Linked DNA regions of Bombyx mori. The protein of the gene in region 1 purifies or fractionates together with the protein of each later gene. This does not show direct contact. Links are inferred from orthologs where the notes say so. Each region holds a gene or a part of one and is shown in the gene's direction. Other genes may lie near its edges.

The links.
Region 2: the proteins of probable prefoldin subunit 4 (region 1) and prefoldin beta subunit purify together in Homo sapiens (affinity purification with mass spectrometry; 6 studies listed by BioGRID and IntAct, counting the BioPlex papers as one, with this or other methods). This does not show direct contact. The link is inferred for Bombyx mori from reciprocal best matches to the Homo sapiens genes PFDN4 and PFDN6.
Region 3: the proteins of probable prefoldin subunit 4 (region 1) and p53 and DNA damage-regulated protein 1 purify together in Homo sapiens (co-immunoprecipitation; 3 studies listed by BioGRID and IntAct, counting the BioPlex papers as one, with this or other methods). This does not show direct contact. The link is inferred for Bombyx mori from reciprocal best matches to the Homo sapiens genes PFDN4 and PDRG1.
Region 4: the proteins of probable prefoldin subunit 4 (region 1) and prefoldin subunit 5 purify together in Homo sapiens (affinity purification with mass spectrometry; 5 studies listed by BioGRID and IntAct, counting the BioPlex papers as one, with this or other methods). This does not show direct contact. The link is inferred for Bombyx mori from reciprocal best matches to the Homo sapiens genes PFDN4 and PFDN5.

What each region holds. Positions count from the first base shown.
Region 1 is NC_085117.1:12,409,199-12,415,326, reverse strand, and holds probable prefoldin subunit 4, read left to right. Parts: upstream 1-2,153; 5' UTR 2,154-2,456; coding exon 2,457-2,489; intron 2,490-2,634; coding exon 2,635-2,856; intron 2,857-3,708; coding exon 3,709-3,861; 3' UTR 3,862-4,485; downstream 4,486-6,128. Other genes in the region: EN protein binding/engrailed nuclear homeoprotein-regulated protein, read right to left, coding at 518-613. UniProt on the Homo sapiens protein: Binds specifically to cytosolic chaperonin (c-CPN) and transfers target proteins to it. Binds to nascent polypeptide chain and promotes folding in an environment in which there are many competing pathways for nonnative proteins.
Region 2 is NC_085112.1:4,986,936-4,991,919, forward strand, and holds prefoldin beta subunit, read left to right. Parts: upstream 1-2,077; 5' UTR 2,078-2,208; coding exon 2,209-2,577; 3' UTR 2,578-3,066; downstream 3,067-4,984. UniProt on the Homo sapiens protein: Binds specifically to cytosolic chaperonin (c-CPN) and transfers target proteins to it. Binds to nascent polypeptide chain and promotes folding in an environment in which there are many competing pathways for nonnative proteins.
Region 3 is NC_085121.1:8,868,386-8,873,012, reverse strand, and holds p53 and DNA damage-regulated protein 1, read left to right. Parts: upstream 1-2,524; 5' UTR 2,525-2,609; coding exon 2,610-3,008; 3' UTR 3,009-3,268; downstream 3,269-4,627. UniProt on the Homo sapiens protein: May play a role in chaperone-mediated protein folding.
Region 4 is NC_085112.1:5,060,764-5,067,129, forward strand, and holds prefoldin subunit 5, read left to right. Parts: upstream 1-2,743; 5' UTR 2,744-2,899; coding exon 2,900-2,986; intron 2,987-3,945; coding exon 3,946-4,155; intron 4,156-4,769; coding exon 4,770-4,943; 3' UTR 4,944-5,555; downstream 5,556-6,366. Other genes in the region: glutaredoxin 3, read right to left, coding at 520-782, 1,178-1,346, 1,638-1,687. UniProt on the Homo sapiens protein: Binds specifically to cytosolic chaperonin (c-CPN) and transfers target proteins to it. Binds to nascent polypeptide chain and promotes folding in an environment in which there are many competing pathways for nonnative proteins.

The sequences.
Region 1 (6,128 bases):
GAAAACCATACATTTCTGAATAGGTACAGGAAATTAATGACTATACTATATGAGTCGTCTATTATCAAAGGTGGCAATCTGTGCATTTGGACAAAAGTTTTTTATTGATATGTCAATACAGATTGATTTGAATATAATCGTCTCCTTCAAAGAATACGGTTCAAAACCTGCATTAAATAAAGGTTAATGGTTAACCTGTTATTTATCTAAGATGTCGTTCCGAAGAGTTTTGTGACTGCCAATGGAATACAAAGTCAATAATTCGTTTTTCTGATTTACCAATCATTGTCCAAAAGTCAGATTGCCGGCTTTGATAATAGTCGACTCATATCTGATATTTTATTTTAATGTAATCTATAAAAATAAAAGATTTTTGTTCAGTTACTGCACTCAAATAATGTACGTATTTAATTAAAAATTAAAGTTTGTGTTTTATTGTAATGTTAATCATATTTTTATTCAATATGATAATAATAATATATTATTAATTCTTAAATAGGTAACGGGTTTTGCATACCGGTGGCGGTTCTGATGTGCTGTATACTTCAGAAGGCGGATATTCCGGCTTCATAGTTATTGTAGCCATCGAGTCTGGCTGGTGTTCTTTTTCCATCACGACCTAATACTGTTTATCAAAATTTATTTATTGCTCGTCTCTGGGTAACGCGCACTGTGTCTGATGTTCGAAGTTGAAGTGCGGGTCTGCGGACAACTTAGGACAAGTGAGTGGTGTCGTCGAGCGTAGGCGCAGAGAACGGCCGTGGTGGGGTCGCCGGTCGCCCGCCCGGTTTTGCATTCTTATACAATGGCTGAAAATACCGCTTAGATCCATAATAAAAAATCCGTATCAGTATAATATTGCTCTATTCATTTCATTCAGATCATTCGAAGCATCAATCAATCAAGGGAAACACACGGCACAACGGTATCTGATATTAAATTATGGGTAATATTCTAACTTATTTTGAAATAATGAAAAGGATAAATAAATATACCCAGATACGTTCCAGATGAACTTATCTGGGTATTTTTATTAACATAATATATATTCATTTGTAGTAATTCTCATTCAACATTCTCGTTTTAGTCTCCTACCTCCGAATTTTTGTGTTGAGTGGAATGAAATCGTTATCTTTCTTTTTATCTTTCTTTTTATTTAGGAGTCTTTGTAGACTATGATTCCCCCGTCCAGCCTGCTTCTACCGTGCACATTCAGGTATATACCGATACATTCGTCAAATCTTTAATAGGTATACGAAGTCATTCATATTATAGTTAGGGCTGCTGAGCGCTGTGAGACATACCCGATCCTGTAGATCGAATGGTAAGCAGTCGACGTTGCCCAAAGCACGTCATTACGGATCCTCCCGATCCATTAACGGTGCTTTTAGGCACCACAAGCACCGTCCTCGTCGAACCCGTCGCTTGCGATGAAGGGCTCGACGAGCGAATTAACCCATAGTCATAGCCCACTGAGTTTCTCGCTGAATGTTCTCAGTGGGACGCATTTCCGATCTGGCGGTAGATTCTGCGAAGCACTGCTCTTACTAGGGTCAGTGTTAGCGTCACTCCGGTTTGAGCCCGGTGAGCTCACCTACTAGTTAAGGTTACGCTGAAATAGCCTCTCAAGGAGGGACTTCGGTTCCCTCTGTATTTTGTACCGTATGTTCCATGGGGAGTGCTCTGAGGAATTGTTCGAGATGATACCGGCATCTCGTTTTTACCATCGCACCGCCCGCCACCGGAGTAGAGTTCATCCATACTACCTGGAGCCACTGCGGTCATCCACAGTGCGTTTCCAGAGGTCTTTTTTACCACGTACCATCCGGCTATGGAATGAGCTCCCCTCCACGGTGTTTCCCGAGCGCTATGACATGTCCTTCTTCAAACGAGGCTTGTGGAGAGTATTAAGCGGTAGGCAGCGGCTTGGCTCTGCCCCTGGCATTGCTGAAGTCCATGGGCGACGGTAACCACTCACCATCAGGTGGGCCGTATGCTCGTCTGCCTACAAGGGCAATAAAAAAAAAAAAAAAAAAAAAAAAATCAAGGCTTAGGTAGGAAAAATAATTTTGTAGAAGTTTTTTTTCCACCAAGCTGATCCAATGTCAATTTTGTTGTTCGAAACTTAGGTAGTCTAATGAGTCATAATGAGCAGGCACCATCTTACTGATAGGTTGTTCCTTTTAAAATCAACCATGCTGTCTCATCTTATGTTGAATTTGGTTACATTTTATTCCATTTAATCATCATCAATCATAAAATCAATAAACATCCAAAATCAATTACTATTCACTCCGTTCGGCCTTCGTTACAAACATGGCTTTATAGGCTAAGTTCCTTTTGCCTATTCAATGAACAAATTACGCTTAAAAAAAGTGAACAATAATGAACAATTTCGATTTGAGGTTAAGCGCAGCCGAAATTTAATGCTTTATGTTTAAATATTGATAGTAAACATGTCAACTACAGCTAAAGGAACTTTTCAGCCAGTAAGTAAATGTGCAATACTTATTTTTGTCAAAACATAACAAGCAGAAGAAATTTACTGTATTAATTAACCATATTGAGACCATTTTAGGTACGAAACATGAACATTCTATTGAATTTCATTTATTTTTCTCCTCGGCATTCTAGGACTCTGATGTACACATTTCATATGAAGATCAACAAAAAATTAACAAGTTTGCTCGTCTCAATGCTAAAGTTGACGATTATAAGGATGAGCTCAAAGTAAAACAAAACGATGTAAAGAACCTAGAAGAAGCAGTTGAGGAACTGAGCCTTGCTGATGATTCTGAAAAAATCCCTTACCTTATTGGTGAAATTTTTATTTGTCAGAATTTGGAAATTACTTTGGTAAGACTATCACATTAATATTCTTTAAAATTTCATTAATATTATATATTTTATTAACTAAAAGTAAAATAGTGGTCATTTGATAAAAGAAAGTTGCAGCAGTTTATCCTAAACTTATTTATAAAATAATGTATGTTCAATCTGATATTAATGCTTCAGTAAAAAGCGAATACCAAGAGAATTATTTAAATATTTTTCAGTGCATATCTCAAAAACAAAAACTCACTCATCTTTTGACAGATTACTTAATGCATTTTGTAGGATCATATACAAGCCTTAAGTTCATAACAAATTTTTTTGACCCTTTTAGTGCTAAGCTTGTTAGATTATAGATTTTTAGAAACATACAATTTTCTCTTTCTAATATATAAAAGTGCCTTATTTGTAGGTTAAGCTTGATTGAAGATTAGTTAAATATTAATCCAACTGAAAATTGAGAACTAAAAAATATCCAACTATCTAATCTCATTTTATATTTAAACTTAACACTTAACTCAATAAATAAAAAAGGGTATATACCCTTAAATAATATTATATATGAGTCGACTATTATCAAAGCCGGCAATCTGACTTTTGGACAATGATTGGTAAATCAGAAAAACGAATTATTGACTTTGTATTCCATTGGCAGTCACAAAACTCTTCGGAACGACATCTTAGATAAATAACAGGTTAACTATTAACCTTTATTTAATGCAGGTTTTGAACCGTATTCTTTGAAGGAGACGATTATATTCAAATCAATCTGTATTGACATATCAATAAAAAACTTTTGTCCAAATGCACAGATTGCCACCTTTGATAATAGACGACTCATATATATTTAAATCTAGTATTATAATTTTATTCCAGAAAAATCTTGAGGAAGCTAAAGCAAAAAAAATACATGAAATTCATGATTTAGAAGAAAAATGTGAGGAACTAAAATCACAAATGAGTGACTTGAAAGCACACTTGTATGGAAAATTTGGTAGCCACATTAACTTGGAAAATGAGGAAGATTGAAACAACATTAATTTTGTTCACAAAAATTGTACTCATATTTTAAGCTTTTAAGTTACATAGGCTTCACATCAAATAATTATTGTTATTCTAAACTTTGTTGTTTTTACACAATAAGAATTTATGTTTCTTAATTCGAAAATTGGCTGACCTACTTCAATGCAGTTTAAAATTACAGTAAAGACTTATTAAGTTCAAAGAAATGGTCCTTAAATATAGAACAAAATATATTATTGTTGTTATCTAGATTTGTGGAATATGTATACTGATTTTTCACTTAAGTTATTTTCCATTACTATAATATACACATCAATTATTTATTATCACGATAACTAAATATGTTTTAATAAATAAATAAAAATATAACAGACATCATTCTATGATGCATTTTCATAAAAGGGAAACAAAGTACATAATAAAAAATGTTATTACTTGAATAGTGGTACATAGCTAACCTTGTGCTTATGTAGTTATGTTGAAGGTGTGAAAATGTTTTGGGAGTTACTCCAAAATTGATATCTATCTTTTTTAACTTTCAATAAATAATTAAACATGAAAGTTGCATTCGTGACTTGTCAACTTATTCAGGTCTTGTATTTTTATTGAAATATATTATACTAATTAAAAGTTTCATTATTACAATAGACAGTAGACGTACATTAGTGAATCCCAGTCATGCTATGCTGTCACTATTAAGCTTTTCTGAGGTGTTTTACACAACAATACCTTATATGATATAGAACTGTTATTTTTTTTTATTCCTAGGTGGGTGGACGAACTCACAGCCCACCTGGTGTTAAGTGGTTACTGGAGCCCATAGACATCTACGACGTAAATGCGCCACCTACCTTGAGATATAAGTTCTAAGGTCTCAAGTATAGTTACAGTAGTACAGTTATAAGTAGTCTTTTTGAAATAACACACCACCTTTTTAGTTAGAAAAGGACAAAGTACACTTTCCCTCTCTTTAAAATCAAGGGCATACCATAATATTTAAGGTATACGCTTTAAGGCTTTAAGTATTAAAAACTGAAAAATTACAACTCTTCAATTACATTTTTGGCTTCTTCAATTTCAATTATATTTACCAAAAAACAAGAATTTTGCCATAAGTGCGATGTATAAAGATTCTAGTTGTGTTCCCTATACGTTACTAAACCGTTGATTAGGTAGTAATAATTTTATGATAATTAAATAATAATAAACCTTAACCTTATTAACTGAACTCATTTGTATTAATGTCATATTTTCATAGAATCTAAAATCGAACCGCTCATCTCACCACTGCATGTAATCGATAAATTATAATTGTATTAAAATTTTGTGTGAGATTAGTATGTGTTACTTGTGATTTATTTTGATGATGCATAATAATATGTGGTTGGAGCTCCAGGAGAGGTTTCTGTCATAGTACCATAAACATAAATAGCGCATGAATAGTTTCAAGAAATATATCTTTTTCACACAATTACTTATAGTCACGGCAAAGCGTGACCAGGATTACTAGCATAAACATAAACCTTAAAATTTATTATCACAAAATTAATTTGATTAATACAATCATACTAATTTATCAAACAAATAAAGCTACTAATCATAATACTAATACAATATAATACAGAAGAAAAACACATTTTATGTGCACCACTATTTTATGTGCAAATATACACCACCGCAAAATACAAAGCTTCATCATTTCCAATATCGACAAAACAAAATGGCATATCTGAAAAAATCTCAGGCAATTTTTGGTGCTTCGAATTCTTTGGTGTGTTTTCCATTAAGTACAATGTCTCGGCAACACATTCGCCTGGCTATTACTATCAATAAACCTAAAAATAATATTGCTGAAAAAAGGAACATATCCTAAAGACAGGGCTGTTTTATTTTAAACCCGGGTTTTATAAATATGAGGCGAGAATTTAACGGTATACTATATTATGCTGATGCGTTTTACAATTTGTACCAAACAAATTCGACTCTTCGAACGTACCAGACGAGCCCTAACATTTTCTACAAAAAGTCGATGTCAAAATAGTTTAATCAACGATATATTATTATTATAATAGATGCGTAACTGTGCTTTAGGTTAGGCACTGACAACAAAACTTTTTTTTTATCATGAAGAATAATCGCAAATAATAATATTCAGGGCCTAACTTAGCCTAAGCACTGAAAAATACCACCTCATTACCTACATCCTACATAAATTGAACATAATTTATCTTCATTAACAAAATGCTAAATGCGATCAACATCAATACTATAAA
Region 2 (4,984 bases), on another chromosome or scaffold:
ATTTGATAGATACCTGAATCTTGTTTACGATATTTTCAAGACAAGCTTCCATTTAAACAAGTTCCGAACAACAACATTCAGACCGTCAGTCTACCGAGCAATATCATCCGCTCGGTGGAAGATCTTCCTTTCGTCGTTTAAGCCTCCCACAGGCTTCCTTCAAATATCAATGTTCCACAATGTTCTCATGACAATGTACAAGACTCCCCTATGGTTCGCTGCTGAATAGGAGTGAAGACGGAACCTCTGCGAAAAGTGCGTACTGGCCTTGTTGGACTCGTAATTTATAGTTTTTTAATTTGTTAATCTGTTTCACGTGACCGAGTGAAAGGGATGCTCTCGAACTCATCATTAAAAATTAAGAAAATCTGTTAAATATAGTCGACGTGTGTATGATCCCAATTATTTTCGATAGAAAGAAGTTCAAGAAAATTCACACAACGAACAGTACCGTAAAATGGGGCGATTAGGGATTGAGAGGCGAATTGGGAAAAAACCGGGAAAATCTTTCGACAGTCAATATTAGTTTTATATTCGTTGCAAAATCTTCCATTTTTTCTAGTTTAATAGTAGAATGTTGAAAGTTCACAAAACAACTCTGAATATGCATGATAATAGCTGCTAACTTATAAAAAATCGCGTTTCAAATTAACTTCCTGTGGTGGTCATTATTTTGGTGCTAGAAACTTTGCTCTCTTTTATTTATTTGATATTAATAGAAGACGACTGTGATTTATACACGTTATTTAGTGTTTGAGCCATCATATATATTAAAGGTAAGTCTCAGTTGTTATTGGTTTTAATGTATTTGATAAAATAAAAATACATGTAAAAATCTGTTGTTTTTGGGGATATTGGGGACGTCTTAGGTACAAATAACAACGAAAAAGGGGTCAATTGGGATGAGAATACGTGAAATGGAAACGAGCTGAGTATAAATAGGTACAGGTTTGTAGGGTTGTCTATGTAGTTATAACAATATTTTTTAAATTTGTTGGTAAAAATCTTGTTTATTCATGATGTTTTTGTCTAGAACTTTTATTCAAAATTATCAATGTGTTATTTTATTGTTTGGTAAATACTTATATTATCAGTTACGTACTGTTTTCTATTTTTAGATAATGCCTCGCGTGTACGTATTAAAGAGTGCAAAGCCTTAAAAGAGATATGATCCCTTAATATTAAAAACAGCAATAGAAGCCTTTGAAATTGGGAATAAGTCTTTAGTTGAAATAGCTAAGCAATTTAATATAAGTAAGTCGATTTTGCACAGACATCTAACAAGAACAATGAAATGTCAAGGTGGACAAAAATGTCTAAGTAATACATAGTAAAATATTTAATATTTGTTCAGAGTGGGGGTATTCATCTGATTAATCCATGGAATAACCAACACACCTAATCTCTTAACCCAGATAAAAATATCAGCCCCTAAGTACTTACCAAGAACGAAAAAATATAAACCGTTTATAAGAAAGCTTACTCTCCTTTGGGACTACAATAATGTCCACGGTAGCATGGTCTCCGTCAATGTTCATTCGGAGTTGTCCGATTACGCTGAACTAATTTTAAGTGATGAAATAAATTTTTTTTAATTGTATCACAACTTACAGGACAAATCTGTCGCGGATCATTTCTCAAGTAAATATAAATTAATCATAAGTAAATAAATGTAATCAAGTTGATGATCACTTTGTTGGTGCAACTAAATAAATAAATAAATTAAAACCAAGTAGTGGCAGCCCTAGCAAATTTCTCATTTCGTCCCAATTAACCGCAATTTTCGGGTAAATAGGGATTACACCTATTTTTGCTTTTTTTGCTTAAACTGGAATGCTAGTTGCATAGTTTTAAATTGGACAACAAAGATGCCCCCAAGACTCAATCATTTCGATCCTGATATAGCATTATATACATCAACATCTACCTTAAAATTGGTCATAAAGTTGGAATTTGTCCCTAATCGCCCCATTTTACCGGTACGTAGTGACACTTGAAATTTTTTGTGTATTATCTATGGTTAATTTCAAAATCAATGTCAGACAAATGACAAAACCATAGAGAATACACACATAACCCATAGATTATACACTTAATATATTTGAGACATAACCTCAACTAAAATTTTTGAGCAGGTGAAAAAAAACGGAAAAGATTTCTGTATTAAACTGTTTATTTTCTATCAAATCATACCTTGACTGAAACACAATGGCGGAAGAAATACAAAAAAAGTTTCAAAAACAGCTCGAATTATTTCAAGGTGTTCAAAAAGACATAAAGAAAGCGGTCACTCAGAAACAACAATTAGACAGCCAGTTAAATGAAAATAAAGCAGTCAAAGAGGAACTAAAACTCTTAAGAAAAGATTCAGAGGTATACAAACTCATCGGACCCGTATTGGTGAAGCAAGATTTGGAAGAAGCCAGACAAAACGTCTCCAAACGTATGGAGTACATTAGCAAAGAAATCAAAAGAACAGATGATCACATATGTGCTTTAGAAAACAAACAAGAAGCACTGCAAGAAAACTTAAATAAACTTAGAAATGATCTTGGCAAACTAAAACTAAAAGCTTGAAAAATGTGTGAATTAAAAGTAAAATATTTCTATTCTTCTATTATGACTCACTTGTATGTTTAGAGAACTACTATTACAAATAAAAATATTACACATTAATAATTTAATGTATGTTTAGCTATGCAATAATCATGAAAAAACTGCTGTGTGGCATTACACTAAACTTACCTCTTCCTTTTGTTAACTCAATATAAAAATAAAAAATCTTACTGAAAGTAAGTTTTTATTTTACTGCCATTGCAGGCAGATGTTTGTGGCCCTCCTGATGTCACCATCACTCATAGACATCAGATATGCCAGGAGCACAGCCAAACTGCTGCCTATTATTTACTTATTATTTATTTTCAAAACTAAAATATTTTGTTACTTGTACATATTTATTTTTGTGTGTATAAGCTGAAAGTTTGCAAGGTAATTGACGGTATAATGAGTACCATTAGTTTTGAAACCAGATTCATCTTAGAATAATTGTTCGCTTCTATTACCAGTAGTTTTGTATATTAACCTAAAACCATATGACAATCTAAAAAAAATTGGGTAATTTTTTGTTTTTAAATACCTATTACAAATGTTATGTATTGCATTTGTATACAAATGGTCGGCATAATTTAAGCTGGCAGTGGAGAAAGTGCACAAATGTAATTTAATAAACTTATTCTAATTATGTTTCCAATGATTTATTCAATAATTAATACTGCTCATAAAGAATACAGGCATAAAAAAAATTGTGTCTTGAATCTCAACATAGTGCAACTTAATCACGTTCAAGATACTCATTCTCCTGCATTAAGCTACATAAAGCTAAAGGCATTGAAGTTACAATGTGTCACTATAAAAAAAATACACATTTATAAGCTTTTGTACCCAATTTAAGAATTATATTGTTCCTAATGAATCCCAAGAAACTGTAACTTTAGTATTAATAAAGTTTGTAACTTTCTAAAAAAAATACCTTTTCTTTTTATGCAGTCTACATTTCTTGAGTCACTGTTCATTACTGAATTAGGATATCATCCATAGTTCTCTGCGACTAGCCTTTTTGAATGCAGAGAGCTACTTATGGTGAGCTTCTTGTGTTTACCTGATCAACCTGAAGATGCCTGACTTCTTGAAGGAGCTGGAACAGTACTTGTAGATCACTCCAGCCAACAACCAGCGCTGGTTAAAAGCTCAAGCTGTAGAGAACAGCCTATCTACCAACTACAATATCATAAAGTGCTAAATTTAAATCGATACCTGGATTACAGTACCAAGTATTTATCTCTATAACACTCGACAATATTACGAAAACCTTCGTAATAAGGTACCTACAAAACTTGCATACGCCCGGTCATGACGCAAATGTAATGATCCCTCACGCACTAATTTGAAACCCCTTCAAGCACCGTGGTTTTTAAGGAATGTGGTTCTCCATGATGACCTGGAGCTTGACTCAATCAGTAAGTTTAAACAGTCGGCATCAACTCGCCGCTTTGAGAAAACAGTACGAAACAAAAACACTCTTGTTGTGGCCGTCGGAAATTACATACCTGTGGACCGAATGGTAAACAGTCGACGTCGCCCTAAACACGTCATTACGAATCCATTAACGGTGCTTTTAGGTATCTCAAACACCGGTCACCGTCCTCGCCGAACCCGTTGCTCGCGACGAAGGGCTCAACGAGCGAATTAATCCATAGACAAAGCTCACTGAGTTTCTCGCCGGATTTTCTCAGTGGGTCGCATTTCGAATCCGGTGGTATATTCTGCGAAGCACTGCTCTTGTTAGGGCCAGTGTTAGCAACACCTATTTGAGCCCCGAGAGCTCACGCACACGCAGCGTAACGCTGATATAGCCTCTTGAAGGCTATCATCATAGGTAGGGGAAAAAAAGCTACGAATTTTTTTTTTTATTGCTTAGATGGGTGGACGAGCTCACAGCCCACCTGGTGTTAAGTGGTTACTGGAGCCCATAGACATCCACAACGTAAATGCGCCACCCACCTTGAGATACAAGTTCTAAGGTCTCAAGTATAGTTACAACGGCTGCCCCACCCTTCAAACCGAAACGCATTACTGGTTCACGGCAGAAATAGGCAGGGTGGTGGTACCCACCCGCGCGGACTCACAAGAGGTCCTACCACCAGTAAAATGATTACATACTGATATTTTAGCAAGAGCACTTGACCTTTGCTGTAATTTCATGTCGTGCATCCGTTATTGAATTGAATAATTATAGTTTTAATGAATTTCGGCTAGATATGAATATCATTAAACTTATATCCAGATGAAATTTCATTGAATGTTAAAAGTGAAATTGATCACTGACATCAGTTCTGGTTTGTAGAATATCTTGTGTTTTAACTTGATTTAATGTAAAATAGTTATAAAATATAAAACGAGATGGACCGACGACCTGGTAAGAACC
Region 3 (4,627 bases), on another chromosome or scaffold:
TTATTATCTCCATTAAGCCATTTCCCATGCCATCATCGTTGGGTGCTCCCCATAAGAAGTGGTGAGCGTTGAAATCCCCTAGAACTACTATTGGTTTGGGTAATGATTGAATGATTTTGTCTAGTATAGGCAGAACAGATAAATCCTTTTCTGAAATGTACACAGATAGATATGTTACCTCACCTACTCAGGCAGCCACTGCTTGTAAAATATCAGAGTTAAAAGCTGGGATTGGCAAAGAAGAAAATCTGTGATTATTACGAATTAAAAGGGCTGTGCCACCATATCCATCATGTCTATCATGTCTGAGAATATTAAAACCGGCCATACGGAAATTGGAACCTGGAACTAACCAAGTTTCTGATATGGCTAGTAAAAAAATATTATGTGAATTAATTAAAGATATAATTTCATGTTTTTTAGGAACTATGCTTTTACAGTTCCACTGGAGGACTCTGTCCATATTTAAAAATATTGAAAATTGATAGTGAAATATTATTTATAAGTGAAAGAGCAACGTGTTCTGGTAGTTCTGAATTAGCAATAATATTTATAAGTGTGGATAACAATTTATTTAGTGTGTCAGAAGATGGCAACTGTGTATCCTTTTCTTTGTTGGATTGCAAAGCGGAACCTACTTTACCTTGAGACTCATCAAATGAAATGCTGCGGATCAATGATTTATATTCTGATTTGACATAACCCTTATTTAAAATAGATGCCTGTTTAGGCTTCTTTATAACAGTTTTTTTGTAAGAGACAGAATTTGAACTATCTACATCATTTAAACTTTGGGCAGATAGTGGAATAGATGATGTTATTTGCGAATATGATTTCTTTACAATAGGAAACAATTTAGAGGCTTCTTGGTATGAAATGGGGTTTTGAGACATATGTTTTTTAATATTTGTTTGTCTACTAAACTCAGGGCAAGATTTGTTTGTAGCCATATGTTCACCTCTACAGTTAACACAAGAAAAAGTCTCAGTATTACAAGCCAGTCCGCTGTGCTCTCCAGCACATTTATTACATCTAGGTTTGCTCCTGCATTGAACACGAGTGTGTCCAAAGCGACAACAATTGAAACATTGTACCGTTGGATAAATATACTGTTCAACTGGAATACTTGAAAAAAAGGAATACACTCTAGAGGGAAGAGACTGTCCGTCAAAAGTCAAGACCACAGTTTGAGTAGGAATCCATGAAGTTCCATCTGAGTTGACAGACTTCCTGTTTAATCTACGGGATTTGATAATTTGTCCATAGCCTTCTGGGATTTGCAGATTGTCTACAATGTCCTCATGAGTCCACTCCTGAGGGATACCCTTTATCAAACCCATTTTACATATATTATATGTAGGAATCACTACATTATACAATGGATTCATAGACATGTTGGCTATGAAAATATTGGCATCACTATGTGTTTTAAAAGTTATTGCCAGGCGATTACGACCTACTCGTTTAATTCCATCCTGTAATATATTACCAAGATTGCTTTTCTTTAGAAAATTTCCAAATTTAAGTGGGTGCAGTGATGTAGTACTATTAGAATCTGAGATTAAAGTAACATGGACCATATATGGGCCGGGATCCTGTTCAGTGTATTTTTTTCTGTAAACAGAGTCAGCCATTGGGGTCTCAGATGGTGTCATAGAAGGACTCGCTGAAGTAGGCTCTGGTGAGGTCTGTACAATTTGGCGAGGAGGCACTATAAGCTTATTTACGTTATTTGCAAGATTTCCCGCCAAAGCCTGCTGCAGCGGGCGCAACGAAAGTTGTTTGTCCGAGATCTTTGGTTTAAAAGAATTAACAAGTTGTTTCTTTTTTTGGGATTTCTTCGATTTAACGTTGACAAATTCAGATACATTGGAAAGGTCGAACTCATCACAGAAAAATATTGGTTGGCTAAACCTTGAGTTAGTCGTATCAGTTGTCTCCTCAGTAATATTCGGATCCGGGGGATCCGTTCCCGCCTCCAACTCCATACTATCTACACTAAAGTACTAAAATATACAATTATAAACTAAACATATATACAGTTATAAACTAAAATATGCTACAATATCTACAGAATATCAAATTAAATTAATTAAAAAGGATATGAAATTTTTTATTGGCCCTCTTCTCAAGTTCCGTCCCAAATTTTTTCAGGAGTGAAGTTGTGTGATTTGTTTTATTTTTTCTATTTAGTGTTTCTTCGGGTTTAAATGTGTAATAATGGTGGTTTATTAACTGTTTAATATCTGTGAAAGTGCACAAATGTGGGAAAATGAAACAAAGCCAATGGACGTAACTTCTTGAGATCCTCCAAAAAGTCCACTGAAAAAATCTTAGTGAATGACCACCATTTTACTGAGATTATATTTCATCCCATTTCATTTCATTTAATTTCATCCCAGTTGATTAATGTCTTAAATTAGTCGTCTTCATCTCATTTCACTCCATAATATCATTTTTCATAAAAATATGAATATAAATTAAAATAAGACATGACTTAAAGGTCTCAGTTACCAGGTCATAAAATCCCTTAAAAAAAAAAAGTGACATCAGCTGGCTTCGTTTAAAAATTAAAAATACGAACAAAAGTTATTAAACATGCACTAAACATGGTAAATAATCAAGAAAAACTATTGAGGTATTTAAAACAAATAGAAACACTTGCATCTGATATTCTTGTTGATAAAAATGAAATTATAATGCTAGATAAACGAAGAAATAAAAATCGAGAAGCGTTAAGAGATCTTACTAAATCAAGTCAGAAGAAATATTGGCTCACGGTGGGATCAATACTCGTAAAGCATAAGTTTGAAGATACTAAAACTCTGCTGGAAGCCGATCAAAAACAATTAAATATTGACATAAACAAATTGAGGAGTGACCTGAAAATCAAAGTCAATACATTGAGAGATCTGGAAATGCAACCACCAGTTCCAGGCTTAATGTTAGTACCTCTGTCCCAGAAAGAAACTGAAGGATTAACAAAAAGTAATTTATTTTCTTTGTAATGGAAAAGTAAAATCAAAACTTAAAATAGTAACAATATTTAATTTTGATTATTCAGAAATGGAGAATGCTACACTATTTTATTGAGGTAATAGGGGTTTCTGAAATTTTGCTGACTGTCATGTATTTAATGAGTAGACCATTATGAAAGTTCATGTCAGAAGGTAAAATTATAATAATATATTATTATGGGCATCCCTCGTATAACACAGTGCTTGTAAAACCCAGTTTTGACATTACACAGTACAAGAATTGAGAATAATCTATGATTGTTTTATTTTTACACAAGTTCAAAAATATAAATATATATTGGATTTTTTTTTATTTGCGTTTAAAAATGGAAATTTCAACTTTATTGCTATTATGAAATCTCCCATTTCATACTGAGAAATGTCAGAATGCATTTTGTTCATAGTAAATGAAATTGATAAAAGTTTTTGCTTTTGTTTTTAATATTTTGGAAAGTAGTGACAATTGAAAGAAAGTAAATAATACCTGTCTCCTACAAGTTTATATGTTCATAATGATTTCAAATTGTGGTCCATAAAAGATTTAAGTCAGAATTTTTATGGTCATTTTAATTTTGAACCTTTAAATTTAAATGTTTGACAAAATCACGAAGCAAACGAAAGCTACTAAATATCAGTGTTACTTTTATTTTTAAATTTATATGATTCTTTTTCAAAATAAATGTGTAACATTAATAGGAGTATGCAAGTATAGAGGGTACAGTTAAGCACTACTGTCTTATCGGGGACAAATTGAATAAGTAGCAACACAACGGAAAAGCCACCAAAATACCACTCACATACCAAGTGGTATGATATGAATGTAGCAATTATAAATGGAAGAATGTGTGGTAAATAAAAAAAATTAATAACTTTTGTTGTCATGTTTAAGATTACACCACTTACTATGGTACCACCCTGATTGCTCATACTCTTTTATACCTAGACAGTGTTTCTTACCTTTGCCCCGTATAGATGAATGGAGTACTATGAAGGTTCAACAGTTTTTGAATCAACAACACTTTTATTATGTCACTGATAACGTCATTAACTTTCTATGCGATGACCTATTGAATTAATTTAAATTAAGTAAGTATAGTGACTACATATTTTAAAAAATATTCAATTTTGTTTTTTCAATTAATGTACACCACCACCTAGTGTTGAACTGCGAATAGGGAACCACTTCAACACACAAACAAAAAAATCATTAAAATCGCTCTACTGTTTTAAGACTTCAGTGCAAAAGATCAGTGAAAACTTTTTTGGAACCTCTGCAGTGGGACTTTGGTTCACTGTATTTTGTAGCATATGTTCCATGGAGCACTTTGTTCTGAGGAATTGTTTGAGATGATCCCATCATCTTATTTTGGCCATCGCACCGCCCGCCCCCGGAGTAGATTTCATCCATACTACCTAGAACTACTGCATTCATCCACAATGAGCTTCCCGAGATCTTTTTTGCCACATACCATCCGGCTTTGGAGTAAGCTCCTCTCTACGGTGTTTCGCGAGCACCATCACATGTCTTTCTTCAAACGAGGCTTGTGGAGAGTACTTTACGGTAGGCAGCATGTTAGCTTTGCCCCTGGTATTGCTTACGTCCATGGGTG
Region 4 (6,366 bases), on another chromosome or scaffold:
ATTACTGGTGGTAGGACCTCTTGTGAGTCCGCACGGGTAGGTACCACCGCCCCGCCTATTTCTGCAAGGTGTGTGGCGCATTTACGTTGTAGATGTCTATGGGTTCCAGTAACCACTTAACACCAGGTGGGCTGTGAGCTAGTCCACACATCTAGGCAATAAAAAAAAAATGATTTCATACTTATGAAGAGTGTCATGAAAATATCAAATCAAATTGGTGAAGATGGACTGCTGTTTACATTAGAGTAAGAAAGCATGTGATTTTTATATGTATATATTCACTATAAATATTCATTCAAAATAAATAAAAATAGAAAACTAAAAATCTTTCATTTTGCAATTTAAATCATACCTATTTGTTTTGTAGAAATAGGCAAAATGTTCTCCATTCTTTAGTTTTTACAAAACTTGTCTCGAGGGCCAAGCCAAATTTCACATGACAAAGTCACATCTATACTTACACATGTAAAATAGTGCAATCAAATTATAGGTATTGATCATTTCATCAATAATACATACCCTGTTCCATTCAGAATTTGTATGAGAGTACGACTAAACCCGCATCTTGGAGTTTCCTTGTTCCCTTTCATGAATACCATTATATTATGCTTATTTATTAAAGCTTTTAGTCGATCTTCAAGTTTCTGAGGGGTTATTTCTGCAGGACTCTTATTAAGACTCTGTGCTTTAATTTTTGTGCTAATTTGAGCAGCATCTGCTCCATCAATCCTGTCTACTTGAGTTCCATTCTTAAATAATATAACTGTAGGCACTGAATCTACCTGAAATAAACATAATCATTAATAAGTTGTCTAAAACAGGCTTTCCCTATTTTGATTGTTTTCATTATAAATTATTTCAATATTCAATTACATAGGCTCTTTGATTGCTTAACTGGTCTAGTGTAGTGTTTCCTAAAGTAGTCTATTTCAATCTGAAGAATGACATAAAGTCTTTAATGCATAGTTGAGTAACCAAAATCAAGATACAAATTGATGTATCCATAAAGGTATATAAGCCGACTTAACCTAATAAGTGTATGGCTTTAATAAATAATAAAAAAAGTATACACAGGTATTGCAATAGGTGACTTAATTGTCTGTGCTTTATGATGCACTACATTTTTAGGGTTAGCACTTATTACTTTTTATTTAACAATATATTAGCAGAGCATTACCTTATATTGCAAGGAAACTTCAGAAAGTGCCTCGGCATCACAAACAGCACATTGTGTCTTGCTCGACTGAATTTCAGGAAGTTTTAAGAGTTCTTCAAGTACATCTGTAACTTGTTTACATTGTTCGGCCCATTCTGCTGAAAAGTGTACTACTCCAAGTGCAGGTGATCTAAATTAATTAAATAATTTTTGATATCAGCCAATACCAAGATAGATATTAAAGAATCATCTTGTTGTGATAAAAGATTAATTGAAAGTAATATTCTCAATTTTATATTCTAAATACATATTTCCATTTCAATGAATGCAAAATGTTGACCATCCTGCTACATAGTAATTTATTATCTAACATTTTTACCTATTTACTGTGTATTTAATTTAATTTCTTTTTATGGCTTATTTTTAATGATCCTTTCACAAACGGTTTTAAAAGTACTTTTTTATTAGCGGTGATTCTTACCTTATAAAATTATTAAAATCTTCAACAGAGTCCAATTTACTGACCGACATTTCAGTATACTATGTTTAGGTTACTTTAATAAATTTTGTAAACAGTATATAAGCGCCACTGGATTACAGCAAGATTGAATTACAATTACAGCAAGATCCGGAATCGTAGGTGTACTCGATGCAAAAATTACAATTTATTTAATCATGTTCATTCAGTTTCTGACATCTCTGATTAGGGATGTGGTCTAAGATCGATACTTGAGTAAATTAATTTGTTAACAACTTAAATCGTGAATAGTGAAACATCTTAAGCAGTAGAAAATCGAAATTTGATGAAAAGGCATTAATAAAGTATTTATGGTTCAACTGATTATGAATATATTAAATATAATGTTTATTAAATTTAAATTTACATTTTAAATAATAATAATTTAAAAAGTTGTTGTATATAAATCATGTATTTATTAAATTTTTTGAATGAATTTGTTGTTAATTTCTGTTTGATTGATTTTTGTGTCATTTTGGTTGCACTTGGGTATTTTCTAGAATCGATTTTTCAAAATTTTGGTCTGAAGTCGAATCATCATCTCTATTTCGAGCCAAATTTTTTTGTTTGATTTGTTTTTTGGACAAGCAAAAGGAGTCATAAATAATAAATAGATGTACACAATAAGGAGTTTTAGCAACACAGCGAAGTTATATTATGTCATGTATATCTTATTTATTTAAAATCGCTTAGCCATCTTATTGTTTACGGTTAATGATCAAGCTTAGTGGTAGATTTTTTTGTGTCTGAGCCAATTTTTTTGCTAATTTATATGGTGATTAAAAGGTTTGCTTAGTCATTGCTCTCTCGAAATGCTCGCAACATAATTGTTAACTTATAAATTTATTAACCTCTTTAATACGATTTTCGTTAGCGGTCAAATTGGTAGAAAACTACCAATATGACTAGCCAAATTGATACACACTAATAAATCCAGTTTAGTTTCTGTAAATTCTCAACATTTTACTAAGAGGTTTTCTTTATCGATTTGTTTTTTTCACTTATTTGGTGTTATAGGCAGAATTTGTTTGCATGTCAATTTGGACCAAACAAGTAAAACTGTCAAATTGACATATTCTGACTGAAGTTTTGGATCCTACCCGAAATCTACCTATTTTGAGGTTAGAAAAAAGAAATAGTCTTAGGATCCTACAAAAAACTAAATAGAATAACTAGAAACGTGTGTTAAGTTCTTTTATTATTTCCTTTTATTAATATTTACAAAGATGGCATCCGGTTCAGGCACTCAACAAATCGATTTAAACAAACTACCTTTGCCTCAACTAGCTCAATTGAAACAGCAGTTAGACCAGGTATGTATAAAGGAAATATCTATAGAGCTATTTTAGAAATAGTAAGCATTAAGTATTATTTCTTCAACATAATATAATTTATACAGATAATTATTAAATGTCGTAACTATTAATGTCCTTAAGAGACAGGACTTATGTCCTATTTTAAGGACCCTCATGAAAGCCGGAATGAAAACATTTCCATATGTTTTCTGGTCTGAGTTGTGTATCTAGGTGTACTTGTTAGTGACATGAACCCGGACCTCAAATACCAACTCACAAAGCTATGAATCTAAGATATGTTAAAGAGAAGACTTCACTGAATGTGCTCATTTTTGGTAGACAAGCAGTCATCATGTTGTTGTTCTGATCTTTTATTGGAAGACTATTTCGTAAACAGTCAGCTTCAGGTCATATCCGCTTTTCTTTATTGTATTGTAGCTATTGCTATAATTAGCCAGAAATGGAACATCAAACATAATGACTAAATTGAGGGAGACATTTTTTTTATTGCTTAGGTGGGAGGACGATCTCACAGCCCACCTGTTGTTAAGTGGTTACTGGAGCCCATAGACATTTATGATGTAAATGCGCCACCCACCTTGAGATATGTTCTAAGGTCTCAAGTATAGTTACAACAGCTTCAAACCGAAACGCATTACTGCTTCACGGCAGAAATAGGCAGGGTGGTGGTACCTACCCACGCGGAATCACAAGAGGTCCTACCACCAGTGAAAATGTGTCTGTATGTTAGTAACTGATGTTATGTTACAATATGCATTAGTAAAACGTCTGCCCTTTAGTCTTTAGGTCTACTTTGGGAGTACTTGGGCAGCTGTTAGTAAATCTGACTCCTCCTGGCTGCTCCCATGCTTGCCCTGCCTATCTTAGTGAAGCAGTAGTGGCCTCCTTGCAACCAGCTATCTCCATCCGAAAAAAAGGCAATACTCTCACACAAAATCCATAAAATTTTATTTCAGGAATTGACAGTATTTCATGATTCAATACAAACATTACAAATGGCTAAAAATAAGTTTGGTGAATCAGGAGATGTTCTAGAGAAGATGACGCCTGATATCAAAGGAAAACCGATGCTTGTTCCATTGACTAGTTCAATGTATGTTCCTGGCACAATAGCTGATGTTGAGAATGTCATTATTGACATTGGCACTGGATATTACGCTAAGAAAGTGAGTAACTTAAATCTATACATATAAATAAAATTGGAGTGTCTGTTTTTAATATTGAAATAACCGCTTTTTACTACATGCATATGAATATATACAGTACATACACCAAAATAACATTTTTTACAATTTTTGTCTGTCTGCCTGTCTGTCTGTTTGTTCCGGTTAATCTCTGGAACGGCTGGACCAATATTGACCAGACTTTCACTGATAGGTAGCTGATGATATAAGGAGTAACTTAGGCTACTTCTTAGATTAGGTTCGGCCCGCGGCGTCGGTTATTGTCGTACCACGGGATAACATCGCGGGACTCAGCTATCAATAATAAAATTTAATGTTTCCGAAGCGAAGCGAGGCGAGGGGGGGCGCTAGTTAAAAATAAATTTAAACCTAATTTAACACTTAATTCAGCTCCAAGTTTGGCAGGATAATATATCATGTATAGCTGCTGTTTTCATTTCAAACCTCATTTCAGAAAATGTTGAGTACTTTAGAATATTGGTATGAAGATTGAATCATGATATAGTTTCAAATAATTTCAAATTAACTGCATGGGTTACCCCTTAGGGCTAATGATGCTGACATATGTTTGTATTACGTTTTATTTCTGCTTCTAGGACATTGAAAGTGGCAAAGATTACTTCAAGAGAAGAGTAGAATTTGTTACAGAACAAATGGAGAAAATAAGTATGTTAGGTGCAGAGAAATCGAAACTCCGTGAAGCTGTTAATGCATTAGTTGAAATGAAAGTTCAAAACGAACTACAAGCAAAAAAAGCTAACTCTTCATAACATATCTGAGACTTAATTTAAAAAATATTTTGTGGAGAGATTCGTGTCCTTTTAATGTATAGAGTTGACCTAAATTTTCTGCTTTGTTAATTTATAGTTTATTTAAAGTATTTTAATTACTTTTTAAAACATTTTAATGATTACATCTTAGTGTTAAAAGTGGAATCATTTGTGTTTTGTTACCACGTATCACCCTGTCCTAATCAAAGTGGTTACTATTGCTTCTGTACATCAGTGATTTCAGAGCAAAGCCAAGTTTCTGAATGTATTAACGTAATCCCAACAGCTATGACTTATACTGATATTTTCTAATGTAAAGCTAGATAATATTATTAAGCCACATCAAAGCTTTTCCTCACATTTTCTTTAATTTTGGATAAATTTTGAAACTAATTACCTAAGGTAATATTTTGTGTTTAGAATACTCCTCAAGAGTACTACTCAATAGCATCAAGTAATGTTAATAATATTCTTAATTCATGTTTTGTAATTTTGTAAAGCTTTATATCATTTCAAACTATGTGTTTTACAAGTACAAGACTCATTGCTTAGTTTTAAATTTAATTCAATGTAACAAAATGTGCTTATGTTTAAAATAAATATATAAATATATTTCCAAGTTTTACTTGAACGATCCAGTATAACAAAAAAAAAACGCGGCTAAAACAAACATCAGCAAAAAGTGGCTTCTTTTTTTAAGATATATTCTGATACTGTTTTAAATGTTTTAATGATCTAATTATTGAATTCTGAAGAATAACACCCTGTATTGTTGTTGTATCTAGTAATAATCAAATTCTAGAAGGATAGTTACATACTCGTATAAATGTAATTTACAACTTTCTTACACAATCCATAGATGAGTCGACTATTATCAAAGCCGGCAATCTGACTTTTGGACAATTATTGGTAAATTAGAAAAACGAATTATTGACTTTGTATTCCATTGGCAGTCACAAAACTCCTCGGAACGACATCTTAGATAAATAACAGGTTAACTATTAACCTTTATTTAATGCAGGTTTTGAACCGTATTCTTTGAAGGAGACGATTATATTCAAATCAATCTGTATTGACATATCAATAACATTTTTTTGTCCAAATGCACAGATTGCCACCTTTGATAATAGACGACTCGGATGTCGCCTTTGTGTATTGCTAAACTCTTCTTTCTATAACTTACTAGGGACCCGCCCTCGCTTCGCTTCAAAACTGTAATTTATTATTGATTTCTCCACTACTTAATGGATGTTATTATACATATAAACCTTCCTCTTCAATCACTCTATCTATTAAAAAAACCGCAACAAAATCCGTTGCGTAGTTTTAAAGATTTAAGCATACATAGGAACAGACAGATATAGGGACAGAGAAAGCGACTTTGTTTTGTACTATGTAGTGATGATGATGATTAATGCAGTCT